Lepisosteus oculatus: one gene and its partner. The protein of the gene in region 1 purifies or fractionates together with the protein of each later gene. This does not show direct contact. Links are inferred from orthologs where the notes say so. Each region holds a gene or a part of one and is shown in the gene's direction. Other genes may lie near its edges.

Region 1 (8,365 bases):
GGTGCACTCGCGCCCGGTTGATGTGCAAACCCTCAGCGGGGTGTAAAAACAAATGTGGAATGTTTCTACTGCATATACATGAATGTTATCCATGTTGAACAGTGTTAACCTAGGTGAACATGTATAAAAAACATCACTATGGTAACTATTAAACTGTAGTGACACGTGCTATACTGTAACAGACTAAAACTTACTAAGGTAATACAATTTAAAAGTGTATTAACATAACAGCATAAAGTGTGTAATAGTAATAACCATAGTAAAGTATGAAGTACTATACTGTTGTTAAGAAAACATGGTAAAATATAGTAAAACTCTGACAATAACCAATATGACAATTTACCATATCAGTAACAAGTATTTCTTAAAATACAATGGTTTCACTAATGTGTAAATGATTCATCTGTACATAGATGATCTGAGATGTTCTTAGCCTATTGTTAACATTGCTATTGGAGCTTCTTACACTGTGTTAAGACAGCCATTTTTCTTGTTTGTGCTTTTTCGGCTTGACCATAAAGAACGTCAAAAAGACTTCAAACACGTGGAGCTCCTACCTGTCTGAGCTGCATTTGTAGTTTCTTCTTCTGCACCTTCAGGGCTGCATTTTTCAGTCGCAGTTTCTCTGCCAGTGTGTCCTGGAAGAGGCAGTCAGGACAACAACAGGAGTAAGGAGAGGGCTACTTCTGTCTGGTCCTGCACACATCCATTTGGCTGAGAACTGCCAATCCTAGGTGCTGCCATTGTCTCAAGGTTAATAATGTATGTCCTGTTGCCGTGAGTGATACAGTCCCTAGCCTCGAGGATATTCCAACGTGATGTCACTAAGACAGCAGCCTCGAGGACACACTAATACTCTGTGGAATGGAAGCGTGCCAACTTGTAGAGTAAAAACCTAAGAGATGAACTGAACAATTAACTAATTAAAGGCATGCCACTCAAAGATCTGCAGCAATAACACAAATGCACTATTTTGTGCAAATACCCTGTTTTTTTTCTCTTTTAAGCTGCAGATCAAGGTCCTACTTAATGGCCAGGCTGTTGCATTGGCTGGGACCCCAGTCTTTGTACCCTGCCTGTTCTCACACACGTCCTGTGCCTGCTCACCTTTGCCCTGGTTCTGTCCTCGATATACCGCACTACCTTCTCTGCCCCCATCATGACACCTCTCTTCTCCTGCAGGACCCGGGCGACATCACGCTCAAATTCATACGTGGCCTTCTTTATTTCCACCAGCCGGATATCAGCCTCTTCTGTAGTGGCCTGGGAGGTCAACACAGTAACAAGAAAAAATGGCAAAAGCCACAAGCAAAGGCATGCAGCTCCACCCCCAGCAAGAGATAAGCATGTTGGAGCTCAACCATGAAAAACTACCATTCAGAGTACCAGCCCAGAGATCCCTGACTTCGACATTCTTAGAGATTTGTGAGAGGAGTCCTGTACACTACTATGCCATAAAATGTCTGTGGTTAACTCAGCATCTCATCTAGCAGATTCTCAAAGCACTGCAGATATCATAACCTAGAGCTGGACATGGCAGCTGTTTCTGTGTGTAAACCGGAAGCACTGATGTAGCACAGCACAACACACAGTGAGAACCAGCCAGGGTCTGTGCAGCCTAGGGGACAGCTGGCACACAGGCGAGTTATTAATGAGAACTGCAGTCCCAGTTTCTCACACTGGTTATTAAATCTCGGTAACAAAATAAAGTCATTGACATTATAGGGGAAAAATGTCGAAATTCTGAATTAAGCACAAATTTGTGAACTTAGTGAAAGTACTGGATGTTGTCATAAACTCACACTCGAGTTCCCACAAATTGTGACATGATGCTGCCCTTCCTGCTCACTATTCACTGTAATGGCTAATGTAATGGGATGTACCAGTGAATACGTACAGGTTGTGCAGCAGACATTTTACCGCAGAAATGGAAATCTGATGTTCCATAAAATGTCTACAATGTGCAGAGTTTAACAATTAAGTTGAATTTTCAGCAAACTGTCTCGAAATCGAGAGCAGTATTTCTATTGGCTTTAGAGATGTATTCACAAGCCGGCTTCTTTACAATGTAATGGGGCCGCTTCACCTCACCAGAGTTTGGTCGCCTCCTTCTAAATCGCAGATCATGGTGCTGCGCAAACGTAGACATGGGATCTATTTTGTGCAGAAAATTGGAGGTTTACACGCTACTGTGTACATTGCACTCTAATTGTGGTTTGAAATGCGCTCATCCATGCAGATTCTAACAGCGGACTCTGAAAATAGCGTTACATCTCCCTCCCGCTTTAACTGCGCCCAGCTCCTACCCTGTAGTTGTTGAGAACTCGCTCCGAGGCCTCTTTCAGTCTGCCCAGGTCCTCTCTCGTCTCCTCCAGCTCCCGCTGGGCCACGTCGCACTTCTGCTCCACCGTCAGCCGCTGCAGCCGCTCGGCCGTGAACGAGCGGCTCTTGGACTTGCTCCGGCCCCGGGCCTGGCCCTGGCCCTGCGGACGAGACCGAGCCGCGTCAGGGCCAGCCGTGGGAAGCGCTGGCTATGACGACGGCGGGCCTCTTCTCGTTCCACGAAACGCGGCGGGTTCACGCGTGTCAGGACAGACAGATGTACCGTTTCATTACTGTCCCGAAGCTTGGGGGCAACGTTCGCAGAGTCCCTCGTGTGTGTTGTGAAAGACATCACATTGATGCCGACAGCTTGTTTTCACTGACTCAAAATGTGCCAGGAACTGAATAAGAAACCTGAATTCTCCAGCGCTTGCTAGGGGTTTGCGTGCCCTGCGCTCTCTCAGTAGTGCTCTTTTTGATGGCTTCTGGTTACGTTGTTCTTTATCGTCTTAATTCCATATATGTTGTCAATTCTACTAAAAACTGCCTCCAAAAATACCCCCCAAAATTTAAAAAGTGTGTGTGAATGTACCACAAGTACATGATGGTGTCCTTGTACCTCAAGGATAAGGGAAAGAGAAAGTTAACGTTTTTCAGACAGCTTTGCAGGTGTGATAATCACTATGTGCAGCAAGCAGCCCTTCCCTGCAGCAACACAATCCACGGGAAATGCTTAAGGTGAGAATGGAAAACTAAAGTCATTAAAAAATAAAGAAGAAAACCGAACAAGACGTCTAGAGTACGAGATCTGGGCTCTGACATCCCTAAAATGACACATCTCGGCTCACTGACAGGTGCTGCTGTAAGATCGGAGACAGACCCAAGTAACCCCCCCCACTGCGGCAGAGACAGCCGGGGCGCCCCACACGGGCATGTCCACCATACCTGGGTGACCTCCGCCTGGGACACGCCCAGGGTGGGCTCCGCCGCGGCCGCCGGAGCCAGGTCTTTGGGGTCCAGGCGGCTGATGTACCTCTGGAACATCTCCGTCTCGGCCTTGAGGACACCATTGGAGCGGCTGGCGACACAAGAGGCAGGACAGGGGCTGCTCACGCGTGCGTTCTCCGGTGTTAGGAAGTGACTCTCAAGCTCAGCGACCTCACGCTACTGGTTTCCTACCCGTAGCGCACTTTTACGTCCTTCTGCCCACGTAGGCGTCATAAAGTATCTATCTATTGCAAGACGTGCTGCGTATTGCGGTCACACATGTGTCGGACGGGATTTAGGTCAGAATTACCGGATACGACACCGGTGCGGTTATAAGGCCCTCAACCGTTTAAACACCTGTTTTTGCCGTTTGGCGCAGCTCACTTTCATTTGCCTAGTGTTAGTCTACACAGTACCCGAGCTGTGCGCATTTTCCTGGTTACACGAGCAATCGGAAGCTGAGGTGCAGTCTAGAGATTAGTCGAGCACCTCTCCTGCCTTGTCGTTCGTACCTTGCCTTCTCTCTTGCATGCAAAGTTGAATTAGAATGCTCAGCTAGTATACAGTTCAAAAGAAAACACGACATCTCAAAGAAGTGATTTTTAAAAAATAAGTGTGCATGGAATTATGTGCTCCTAACCAGAATAGTAGGATAGACAGACCAACCGCAGGAGCTGCAGGTATTTTGTTTTTGTATTGTGGTATTTCAATGTGAGAGCTTTTAACGCTTGAAAACAAAAGTACCCTCTGAGCCGTCAATCTTGCTCTGGACTAGCTTCAGAAGCTGTTGATCAAGCTATCCCGTGTACATCAGGGTGTACGCCTTATCCGAACTTCCCCTCGTCCACATTTTCCACACCGATTGGTTCTCTCTATTTACAGTACCTGAGTTCTTCTACGAGCAACACCAATTCGTGCGCCCCGAGCTCGGAAAACTCCGGATTGTCGTCTGCCTGGGACTCGCACTCTGCCTCCGCCATGGTTGCCAGGATAAACAAGCGAGGCTGAAGTTGGCAACCAGCGTAGACGTCACACACGGCGCGTGACGTCAGGCGATGACGCCACCGCGGTTTGCAAGACAATTTAGTGTCAATATTGCCGGTCTTTTCAAGTGTTTCCTTATTTCACGATTCATTGTATCTTGTACTCCGGCCCTCCATGACCAGGAGTTAATGTCACTGAATCATACATTACTGCCCCACTGTGTGGGTAGAGAAGATTGCAACTTGAAACAAATAATAGGGACATTAAAAAAATAATGTGTCGCTATACATCAATAAAATCGGTCGATACACGTCACTTATAAATAATGCCACACCTTTGCAATAGCAAGCAGGTTTCCAGGTAACAAACAACAACGTCTTATTCATTTTGAACTCAAATCAGTGTAATATATTACCCTCCATCTTGCCAATATGTAGCATCCAGTGTTAAACTTCCGTTTACGATGCGGGGGCCCTTGCCGCATTAGGTCGGCCCCCCACCGTCGGGGGCTCGAACCCGGGACTTCCGCGTTACTCAACAGGGACCCAGCCCGGTGAGCTAAAGAAAAATCCCTCTATACTGTTATACAATGACTCTTGATGCCGTCCATCTGCGCGTTTCTAACGTCTTTACTCCAGAGCCTCGAGCTGATATGTCAGGAATGGCGCTGCGTGTATATATATATATTTCATTTCCAGGGCTCCTAAATAGGCCCTTAACCCCAACTGCTCCAGGGGCGCCGTACAATGGCAGACCCTGCGCTCTGACCCCAAGCTTCTCCCTGTCTGTGTGTCTGTGTCTCCTTGGAGAAAAGCTGGGGTATGCGAAAAGACGAATTCCTAATGCAAGAACTTGTATAGGGCTAATAAAGAAACATTATTAACATTATTATTATTATTATTAATTGCAGCACCTGCAGACCGGATTCCTCCCTTCCAGTAGGCGGCGGTAAGGTTGGCCACTGACAGCCCGGTAGCGCTGCTCTTGTCAGAGAGAGGATTATACTATTGCGTGCAAGGTTGCGCATGCTAAAAGGGACACAGCGAAGTTCAGTTCTGCTTCTAACGTTGACTAAGAGATATTAAAAATGCAGCAAATGGACATTGGAAGCCATAGTATTTGTGGCGGTTTAATGACTTTCAGTACATTAAAAAAATATATTTTAAAAAAATAAATCAGTACAGCCACGAGAAAACGGGATATTTACAATATTTAACAATATGTTAAAACCCTGCTGGTCAGGGTTATAAAAATGCCCCTTAAAACGAAATTAATGTATAATTTTAAGCCATACAGCCTTATTAAATGAAGAGGTGAATATTATTAGGTAAGAATAGAATAAGGCTAAATGTATATTATTAATTGTACCTAGCCACTTTAACAACGGCGTAACACTATATTATTTAATATTATTTTATTTTTGCAGGTATGACCGTGTTGGTGATAACTGAATCCTGTTCCAAAACCGTGAAAGGCGGCAGTAAGAGCCAGTTTCTCGGGCGGTTTAAAAAGCTCGTCTCGTAACGCCCCAGGATTAAAGAGGAGCAATGCGATCAGCTGGAACAAATCGACGTGCTTCATGAGCTAGACGCGTCCTCTGACCTCGTATGAGTGCTTCCGAATTGGGTTTAGATTTAAAAAAAAAACGAGAGAACCGGTAAATTCTGAACCAGACGACATGCACACGCCTGTCTTTACTGAACACACTGCCAGCCTCTTTCAATGCAGTGACCGATAAGGGGGGCTTGACGGCCAGTTTAACTTTATTGCTGTCGGAGCCTGATTCTCAATTCGAGCATTTGCAGGAAACACTTTTCCAAGGCTCACACCGAAGCAGTACAGACCCCCCCCCCTTCTTCTTCTTCTTCTTCTTCTTCTTCAAGCCCTGCCGGAAGTCGGCAGCTCTTCACCGCCACAAGGTCGGGCCCGGCGCTGTCTAGTCGTAATCCGCTCGTCTATGGTCGCATCCATCTTCGCGAAGCTGCGATCGTTTCCGGGTGGATCTGCCGCAATCCGGTTGCCTGTGGTACTGGCCGGGGGAGGGGGGTTCCCATAGAGATCCCCGAATCCGACCTCCGGAGCGATTTCCCCGCTCTCCTCCAGCGGCTTGGACGGCGCTCGCAGGCTTTCGGGGTCCCGCCGGCCGGGGCGCAGAGGGAAAGCGGCCATCGATCCGCTCGATCACCACCGGGCAGCGAGAGCGCCGATCATCTCCTCCCCCCCCCCAACCCGCAAACACACACCTTCCCATACCACCCCTCAACTCACACACACACACACGCCGGCTTTGCGTTGAATACATCCTGTAGACCCGTAGTACTGGATTGTAAGACCGTTTTTCGTCAACATCCACGGCACCGGCGCCATCCCCATCCCCCCCCCTCCACCCGAGGATCCGTTCCGCCTCTCGCAGGGCCTGGACCCCGGGGGAGTCTCAGCGGGCTTCCCTGTCTCCGGATCAAGGGTTTCGCGGCCCACAGCGGGATGGGGGGGTTCGCCTGCAGTCAGTAGTTTCACGGCACCCCCGTCCCCCCTCTCCCCACTTTTCAAAACCTGAAACTCCAGACTGCGCGGGTTTCGCCACCGCCTCCGGAGGTGCTCGCCTCCCGCTCCGTCTCCTCACCGGGCTGATTACCCTGGCGATCCCTCTCCTCCTCCCTCTCCCCGCCGCCGCCGCCGTTCGCGTCCTGCAGCCTGGGTCCCCGCTCTGCCTGGCTCTCCGGGCTACGATCCCTGCCTGCCGTGAGCTCTCCGGACACTGCGCCCAGACCTCCCCGGAGAAGGTACCCGGCGGGAGCCGCCCGCCCTGCTCAGACGGCCCCCTCTCGGCTCCGATAACCGCCCGCTGTCCCTCGTTCGCAGCGGCTCCCCAGACCCCCTCGCCCCGGCTAGCCATGCCTGGCCCCGCGGCGGGCAGCAAGTCTCGGGTGTACGCCGACGTGAACACTCTGAAGAGCCGGGAGTACTGGGACTACGAGGCACATGTGCCCAGCTGGAGGTGAGGAAGGAAACTCGCAGGGGGAGAAAAAAAAACAAAAACACGGGGGGCGCCGAGACCCCGGGACCCCGAGACCCCGGGCGTTTTGGACGCGGTAGATAGCGCGCAGCAGCCGGCTTAGAAAGTTTCCATTTCAGCCTTTTTGCCAAGGCCTTCCAGTGCGGCTTCCTGAACCGCCGAGCATTTAAAATTGGACTCCGTGAATGCTTAATTCGTCGTCATACCTAAACTCTTGAATTGTTTCTTGGGGGGGGACTGTAATACCGGCGCTGTAGAGGCAGCTAGACAAATAGAGCACAACGCACAGTCGGAATAATTTGGCACCTGATTTGTGCTGCCTAATCGATGGCAGAGGAATTCTCATCTCCATCAGGCCGTGAAGTTTCTTTGCTTACCCGCAGTCCCCGGAAGACCAATTTTATTTATACCTCAGGAGCTGTGTGTGGGTTTGTTTCTGTCCGGTTTTATGGCTGTGAAATAATCGCCGCTCTTGAGCTTCCAAAAGTCACCGAAGACCACAGCTGAGCACAGAGCACAGGCGGTGTGGTCTTTTTGGAAGATTCTTTTTAAAAGTAGGTGGTTGTTGTTTTTTAAAAACGCGTTTAAACAAGGCATTGTTGATTAGCTTCTAATTTCTTTGTATACGTGGGGGGTATTCAATGTAAAAAAAACCCACTTAAATGAATGAAATTTGTGATTTTCACTGGGAGATACTGGAATTAAGGAAGCACATTGTCCTTGTGTTGAATGGAGGACATTGCAAAGCACCAATGACTGTACCGGGAGCTCACAGCAGGTGTCTGGCTTTAGGCTGCCTGGGCCTGTTGTGTACTTCTTTGAGGTACAGTAGGGTGGCCTGAGGCAGGCCTGCATTGTTCACCTTTTTAGGGTTTTCCTTCCCTTTTTTCCCAGTCACTGACATCTGCTTTCTACGTTGATCGTTCCAGTGCAGTGATGAAGATTGTAAATAAAAGAGAGCCAGACGGAGACAAGCAGTCCCCGAAGTACCAAGTACCCACATACGTGTAGAGCGCTACTTTTGTGCCTGTAGTGTAGTCTCTCTGCACCAGCTGT
Region 2 (7,595 bases), on another chromosome or scaffold:
GGATGTGTTAGGCATCTTTGTAACAGCAGCCCTGGGGATGTACAGTTAAGTGGCCAATCCATAACTCAAATCTTTTTTCAGAAATGTCTTTGAAGACCTTGCAGAAGACTTGGGTTAATTATCCTGCTGGAGTAGGAACTCCAGCCCAATTATTAAGCTCTTGTGGCTCTAGATAACACCCCACAGTGCAAAACACCTCGTTATTTTGTTGCATTAATTGATGTCTCTATTATACAAAGGCCAGCCTTGCCTGTGGAAAAAAAGCAGATGTGTACTCCACTATGTTTTCAACAATAGGCGTGACAACCTTTCTCTTTGTTTCACCTCCCTGAACACAGTTTCTGTCTTAGTGAAAAACAAAATCTGTTCAGACCCTGAAATCTTGCTTCTTCAAAGTCAAATGCTTTGCGGTTTTATGTTGCCTCCTTGCTTTCTCATATGGTCTTTCATCTTGTTAAAGATTTGTTCTCTCACAGGTTTCTCATGGTAAAATGCCGGCCCATCTACCTAGGGAATTTAGCTCTGTTCTAACCGCTGTTTACATCCAACCACAAGCAAATGCTGAGGCGGCGCTTGGTGAACTGTACAGCGTGATAAACACAAACACGAAAGTTTGAAGCCCGATGCCGCATTGATCTTTATGGGGGCCTGCAATCTCGGGAAAGTTTTGCCAAAATTTCACCACGGCGACCAGAGGCTATAACACCCTCGACCACTGTCACATAACCAATAAAAGGGGCATATCAAGCTGCGCTCTGACCACTTAAAGTTACAGTTTAGGATAAATAACCTTGCAAATCAGCTGGTTCACAGTCTTTGTCAAGCAGTCTTAGCTGGGCTCTGGGCCACACTGAACCAGCCTGACTGCATGTCCTCCTGTGTTCATCTCCCCCATCTTAACGTATTGTTAAGCATAGAGATTCTTTTTAGACTTCTGCGTCTCACTGAAAGCTCTTTAGCAGAAGAGGTTTATTTCTATTAATGTAAGGCAGATGTTGCAATTGACTAAACTCTTGAGAAACCTGAGGGCAGTGGGTCATCATAACTGAATGTTCTTTCTGGGGTTGTTAAAATTAGTCATCTTATCAACAATAGATCACAGGAAGAGAAGTGTTAACTACTATAGTAGTAACACTCGAAGAAGATGAAACATTGTGTCTCTTTGCTTTTTAGGATGAAATAGACCGTTACTTGTTCCTTTATAGTATTAACTATGCCCATCACAGGAGATCACATATATCAGACTTTGAAAAGGTTGCTGGGAAGGAGAAAGAGTGACTAACACAGAGCTTTGACAATATTGGCTTCGGTCATGAGAGTTATTTTTAAATAAGGTGCAAATATTGTCAGCACATTTGAGATCACACTCTCTGTTGCATCTGTAAAACATTTTTCAGTACTGGGTTTGTGCCTAGATATGCCCAAAAATGTTGTTTCCTCCCACCATATTTCTCTTTATGTGGAAGAAAAAAGGTTGAGTCTAAAAGCTCAGGATACCATATGTTGCTTCTCTCCTTATGCTCTTCAATTAAATACCTCTCTGTCAAAAACACCTGTGTCTCTGTTTAAAAGGGAAAAGCAATCTGAGAAGGGATTTCATTTTAAAAATTCAGATATTGATGTTTTTTCTTAGCATCCATATTGACAGAAATATGATTTTTCACAAGTCAATATTTTTTACAGTTTGATTGAACCTGACAATAGGCAAATTTTACCTAAAGCGTCTTAAAAGGAAAAAAGCAAAAAGGCCTAAAGTAATTTCCATACTTTAAAATCTTTTAAAAACCCATAAAGGCCATTCTGTTCAGTAGTCCCCCACTGTAGAATCCTGTGCTGCTTCACTGGATATTTTAATCGATACATTGTTTAGTTTGGCTTGAGGTAAGCCCGTACCATGCAGAAAACATGGTTTGATTTCGAATTCAGGTTAATTGCCCGTTGCTGGGTTTTGTTTATGGGGTTGACACTGTAATTTGGAACAAAGTTTATAAATTATTTATTTTTGTAAACCAACAGTAACGTTAACTTGTGTTCCAGAGCTCAAGAAAATTTCGTGTCCAGATAAGATATTTAACATACAAATGATACTCAAGCAGGTACCCAGTGTCTGGCCACTGTGCTATACCCTCCCACTGGTTGAGTAGTCTATATTGTGTAGATTCAGTGGCCTCTAAATTCTGCTTCAGGTGTTTCCAATCGCTTCCTTCCAGTTTTCTTCTTATATTTCGCTTTTAGCTACTCTATCAGACTTCCACTATCTGTAATGGATGATCTCTAAAAATTAATAATGTGTACTGCTGTAGTAGAGAATGATACATTTGCAAAACTATTCGCAATTCGCAACACTGGTGAAATTGTGTTTATATCCGGTAATATTCAATTAAACGGGAAAAACCCGAGAAGACAGAACTGCTTTAGAGAATATGTCAGTACATCCACGTATTAGCCCCATTTTCTCAACTTTTTAAGATCTATATGTTCATCAAATATTGCTTTTATTAAATATCTTTAAAATACCAAAACTCCATTACAATTAAAAGCTCGTGATCACGTCAACGTGATGAAAGTTAAGAAATCATGAGAGAGCCAAAATATGTATTAAAAGTTAACACTTTTAAAAAAAATATATATATATCGTGTTAAAATAAACAAGCAAAAAAATTAGGCAACGCATTTTTCAGTTGCTGTAGCCGTTGGCTTGTCAAGTAAATCAAACATATTTTTAACTAATCGCTTTAAAATGCTGTGTGGGAACAGTTCGTTTCGCCGTAGACGAGTCTCATGCACTTACTGTACCTTTCACATCTTGTGCAGGACAGTCTTCTCGGAACTCAGCCTGCTCTGCTCTCCCGTTCACCGTGAAATAAATGATTTTTGCTGCCATTTGAAGAAAACAGCTTTGCGGGTGGGAATCATTCGCTCTCCGGTTCCACTGCGAACTGCTGTTGAAGACTTCAAGCATCACGTTTAAACGAGGGACACCTCTGTCCTCTCTCTCTCTCTCTGTTTCCAAAACACAGTCTGCATCTTCTGCAGTTTTCTTTTCAATGAAAAGATCTCCCCTCCCACCAGAAGCTGCTGCTGGATCTGGGCAGCTTCTGCAAACGTATTATTATAGTATTCCTTAAACACAACACAGTGAGCAAGCACAGTGCCATGCACAGCTGCTGCAATGCAGGTGACGAAGTTAGGTGATACCCCATAACCCCTAATCCCTAACACGTAACTACTAACCCCTAACCCTAAACCAGAGAAAATTAAATTCTACATTCTTAGCGATAAAAGAGTTCAGCACTGGAACTCAAAATCACAAGTAAAAGCAATTAAACTTAACACCAACCCTCCAAAAGTAACCTTAACATCCCCTCCAAACCTCATCCCTTTTCCCAGGTCAGCGGATACTGGAATGAGAGGGCAGGGGACTCAGAGCTACAGAAGCAGTATCAACCATAAACCATAACTACTGAGGCAACCTGTAGCCGGCGCCTGGTCACTGCCAGACGAACTCGAGACATTGCTTCATCAGTAGCAGGGGCCCGAACAGAACTGGTGCCAAAGCAATAGGGGCACCTCGACCAGTCGCCACTCATTTCCACAGAAATTGACTCCCTCATAGCCCAGGTATTCCTAACCCCAATCCTTCTCAAACGGAGGAGGGCATGAACTCTACCCACAACCCAGCATTAAATCTGAATCTGACCTAAACGCAGGTGGCACACAAACTTTAATCCAGCTACACTGGGGTGAAACAGGAAGGGCATGGTGTGGCTCAACACCAGTCAACCAATATTCTAGACTAAGTGTCAGAGAAACCACCGAGGGGGAGAAGAATAGGTCACTCCAGCACAGTAATCGGAAACTAAGGCGAGTGCAGGAAAACATTTGTTCAAATAAACGAGCAAAAAAACTATGCAACACATTTTTCAGTTGCTGTACCCGCTGGTTTGTCAAGTAAATAAAATCTTTATTTAAAAAAATCGGGTTTAAAATGTTGTGTGGGAACAGTTCATTTCGCCGTAGACGAGTCTCATGCATTTACAGTGCCTTTCACAGCTTGCCGCTGAAGACCTTAATCCTCCCTGTAGACAGGGGGCGCTAAAGAAGAAGAAAGTGTCGTTTCCCCCCAAGTTGCTCTATTCAGTTCTTGCTTTCTCTGGTACGAAGTGCAAAGAAACAACGTGGTTGTGGTGCTGCATTGAGTGGAGGAATAGGAGGAAAATAGTCCGCTTTAAAGAAAAGGTTGATCATTTTCGTCGACGATGACAGAAGGCAGCTCGGCCCCTGCTCCAGCCGCCCGGAACCTGCTCGCTCTGAACCCGAGCGAAGAGGCTGAATTTAAGAACAAAGTGCGAGAAGTGAAAAAGCGATCTAAGAAAGTAAGCGAACTCCAACCATCAAAGAAACAGAGCGTGTAAATTAAAAGGTCGAGATCAGATCAATCTGTATGTAATCGAGCGTTTTAAACTTTACGGTGTAGCCAAGGAAGTCATCGAGGTCGAAATGCGCTTTAATATTTCGAAATAAAATTGTGCGGGTGCTGTTCGGGGCATGTGTGACATGAAGGCGAGGAGGAACACAGTAGCAGCCTACGTGTGGCGTCATGTTACTGAAGCGAGAGCATTCCCTTTAAAATGTGAAGTTATCCGCCTCTAATGTGGGCTTTTTTTGTTAAGAGTTGTGTTTGTTGTTTCCTTCACTTTCTTCCTGATTCATTTCGGCAGCATGAGAGGCTGACCCCAGGTGTGATTTACCTCGGCCACATCCCCAATGGGTTCTTCGAGCCTCAGATCCGACAGTACTTCTCCCAGTTTGGCAAAGTTCAAAGGTTACGACTGTCCAGGAGTAAAAAGGTGGGACGTTTTAGATTACAGATGTGGGTTCCGTTATATAGGCATTTCCAGAGTTCTTGCATTGCAGTGCTGTTATTAAGCTTAACAGATGCCCTTATACAGGAGAACTTACAAAATATACGCTAATACGTAAAGTAAATACGGAAAAATCAGATACTGTTGCAAAGTAAAACCGTTTCATAGTTCCATAATGAATTGTCATCTGTAATCTCTAATATATTAGTTGTTAAGGTTTTCTTTTGTTTTATGCAGTTACTGCATCAGTTAATGTCCCTGTATGTTTGTGGTCTTGCTTGAGAATATCTACGCATTTACTTTTGCAATTTGGTAATGAACAAAATTAAATTTCTGTAAATGTTTAGTGTCGTTGGAGCCGTGGTAGCTCCTGACCGGAAGGTCCCGGGTTCGATCCCAGGGAGGGGCAAGCGATGGAGCTCTGATTCCTTCCAGACGGCTCCCAGGTCCACTCAGCCTGCTTTCCACATGAGTACCAGACTGGGGGTTAATCCTTCTGGGGGTAATAGACCCGCCGGAGCGTGGTGCTGACCACATCGCCTCCACCTCCAGTGTGGGATGATTGAGAACAATGGTGGCCCTTGCCCCCACATTCCCCATGGGCCTGGATGGCCTGAAAAGGGGACCTAACCTACCTACCTTTAGTGTCACTATTGGTCATTTAACAGAACATTTTAGTCCTTTAGCAAATGCAATAGCTTTTATGCATAACAACTATTCCTTCGAAAAGGAGCACTCTTAGATTATAAGGAGCAGAGAGTGTATTTTTCAAACTGCCATTGTGAAATGAATGTTTCAATCAACTCTTCGTCCTTAAAGCATGTGAAGCTATTTAACCTATTACTCTTCTCAGTGTTCTTAATAAGGGAACAAGAAAAATCATTCTTCTTCAATATACTGATTAAGGCGTGTGTGATCGAAAGATATCCATTAATTGGGCCAAAGAGCGCAACGGGGGTTCTGATGTGGGAAAACAAATGTGTGCTTTCTGACTTCATGTCTGTCCCTCGATCAGAATACATTTCTGCAAAGCACATGGACAAAAGGATTTTAAATGCAATTTTAAAATCCTTGCATCTGCTTGCTTTATTCATTCACCTTGTTCTTGGTTTTCAGACAGGTGGCAGCAAGGGCTATGCGTTTGTGGAATTTGAGTGCGACGAAGTGGCTAAGATAGTGGCAGATACGATGAACAATTATCTCCTGCGTGAAAGGCTCATAAAATGTAAGTAAGGGAGGGATGAAGTGTGTTTCTGGAACACTTGCGGTGATTGTGTAATGTGTATGTCCGAAAATCTCTCTTTTAAGAACAGAATTTTCTGAAAAGTCTTGACTTCTGTCCTTTTAGCCTGGGAAGTGCTAGATTATAGAAAGGCGGCGGTGTCCTTTTGGTGCCAGTTCCATTTTTCTTACATCAGTTCGGTCTCACCAGTGTGACTGGTTATTGTGGGAGCTCTGGTTGAGTTTGAGGGGGGAGCACAAAGAGATGGTTTGTTTGTTTTTTATCCACATAGAAATCACTCAGGACCGTTCCACGCACGGAGTCGGGGTGAACTTCTCTGTGCCTTGCTCCGCAGGTCACGTTATCCCACCCGAAAAGGTGAAGCCGGAGCTTTTCAAAGGAAGTCAGACTCCGTTTAAGAAGCCCTCGCGCCCGGCGGTCGGCCGCTACAACAGGAAGCGCACACCTCGGCAGAAGGCGCAGATGACCAGCAGACTTTTACAAAAGGAAGCAGGTTTAAGAAAAAGGCTGGCAGAGAAAGGAATAGATTATGATTTCCCGGGATTTGTAAGTCCGCTTAAAACTGCCTGAATAGCTCTATAATAAGGGTACTGCCTGTGCGGTGGTATAGTCCTAAAAACGTTCCTTGCAAAGTCTTCTCAACAGATTATTTTCCTTTTTTCTTGCTGTCTGTCTGTAGAATAAAAACGTCATCTCTGAATATAATTATCTACACTACTCGTGCAACTTTTTGGGGCCCTTTAGCATAACTCGTCTGTTAAAAAGTGATATTTAATTGCTGCTTTTCTAGTTGTTTTTAACTAAACAGGGCCTTTGTCACTGAGCTAATGCAGGGGTGTGTGGCTATCGCTTAACTCTGCTTCATCATGAAAGGGTTCTCAGAAGTTGAAATAACTGTACTGTGCTCTTAATATTTCTGAATGGTATTTTGTAAATGGCTTCATAATGTATGTTTTTTTTTTCTTTTTTTAGTCTGCCCAAGTATCCAAAAAGAAGAAGACCTCTGCAGAGAATTCGGCCTCCATGACTGACAGTCTAGTATGTTGTATTAATGTGTCTTTTAAAACACGTATTGTAAAACGAGTAGGAAACATGCAAAGCTGTACAATTTAACTCTGAGACTTGCATGTATGATTCAGTCAACCAACTCAAGGCACCATAATATGAGCCCTTAAGATTGCAAAAGGTTTCTTCTCCCCGCATAGTGACAGGGAAGATTATAAGATCTAACCTGTTATCAATTTTGGTGTGTTCTCTGTGACTTTTCCCTGCAACAAATTATTAATGTTCAAAGGGCATCCTGTTAGGAAGCTTTGTACTCAGCGTGTGTCTTTTTCTTTGTGTCTGTAGGATGTCACGCCAGTCTGCACACCAACTGTGTTGGAGAAAAGAAAGTCAATGAAAGTGGAGGACAGCGATGGTGATGATGAAATTATAATCAAGGCCACACCTGCACCAAAGAAGTCAAAAGGCAAAAAGAAGACGCG

What was found. The genes of interacting proteins can lie anywhere in the genome.
Region 2: the proteins of csnk2a2b (region 1) and nifk purify together in Homo sapiens (affinity purification with mass spectrometry; 3 studies listed by BioGRID and IntAct, with this or other methods). This does not show direct contact. The link is inferred for Lepisosteus oculatus from reciprocal best matches to the Homo sapiens genes CSNK2A2 and NIFK.

Annotation. Positions count from the first base shown.
Region 1 is NC_090715.1:11,437,197-11,445,561, reverse strand, and holds the start of csnk2a2b (casein kinase II subunit alpha'), read left to right. Parts: upstream 1-5,224; 5' UTR 5,225-5,241; intron 5,242-5,719; 5' UTR 5,720-7,076; exon of another isoform or gene 7,077-7,155; 5' UTR 7,156-7,187; coding exon 7,188-7,291; intron 7,292-8,365. Other genes in the region: cfap263 (cilia- and flagella-associated protein 263), read right to left, coding at 558-638, 1,108-1,263, 2,307-2,483, 3,268-3,400, 4,195-4,289.
Region 2 is NC_090707.1:4,289,129-4,296,723, reverse strand, and holds the start of nifk (MKI67 FHA domain-interacting nucleolar phosphoprotein), read left to right. Parts: upstream 1-4,144; 5' UTR 4,145-4,259; coding exon 4,260-4,376; intron 4,377-4,721; coding exon 4,722-4,850; intron 4,851-5,981; coding exon 5,982-6,090; intron 6,091-6,442; coding exon 6,443-6,654; intron 6,655-7,080; coding exon 7,081-7,146; intron 7,147-7,458; coding exon 7,459-7,595. Other genes in the region: high affinity cGMP-specific 3',5'-cyclic phosphodiesterase 9A, read right to left, coding at 2,797-2,962.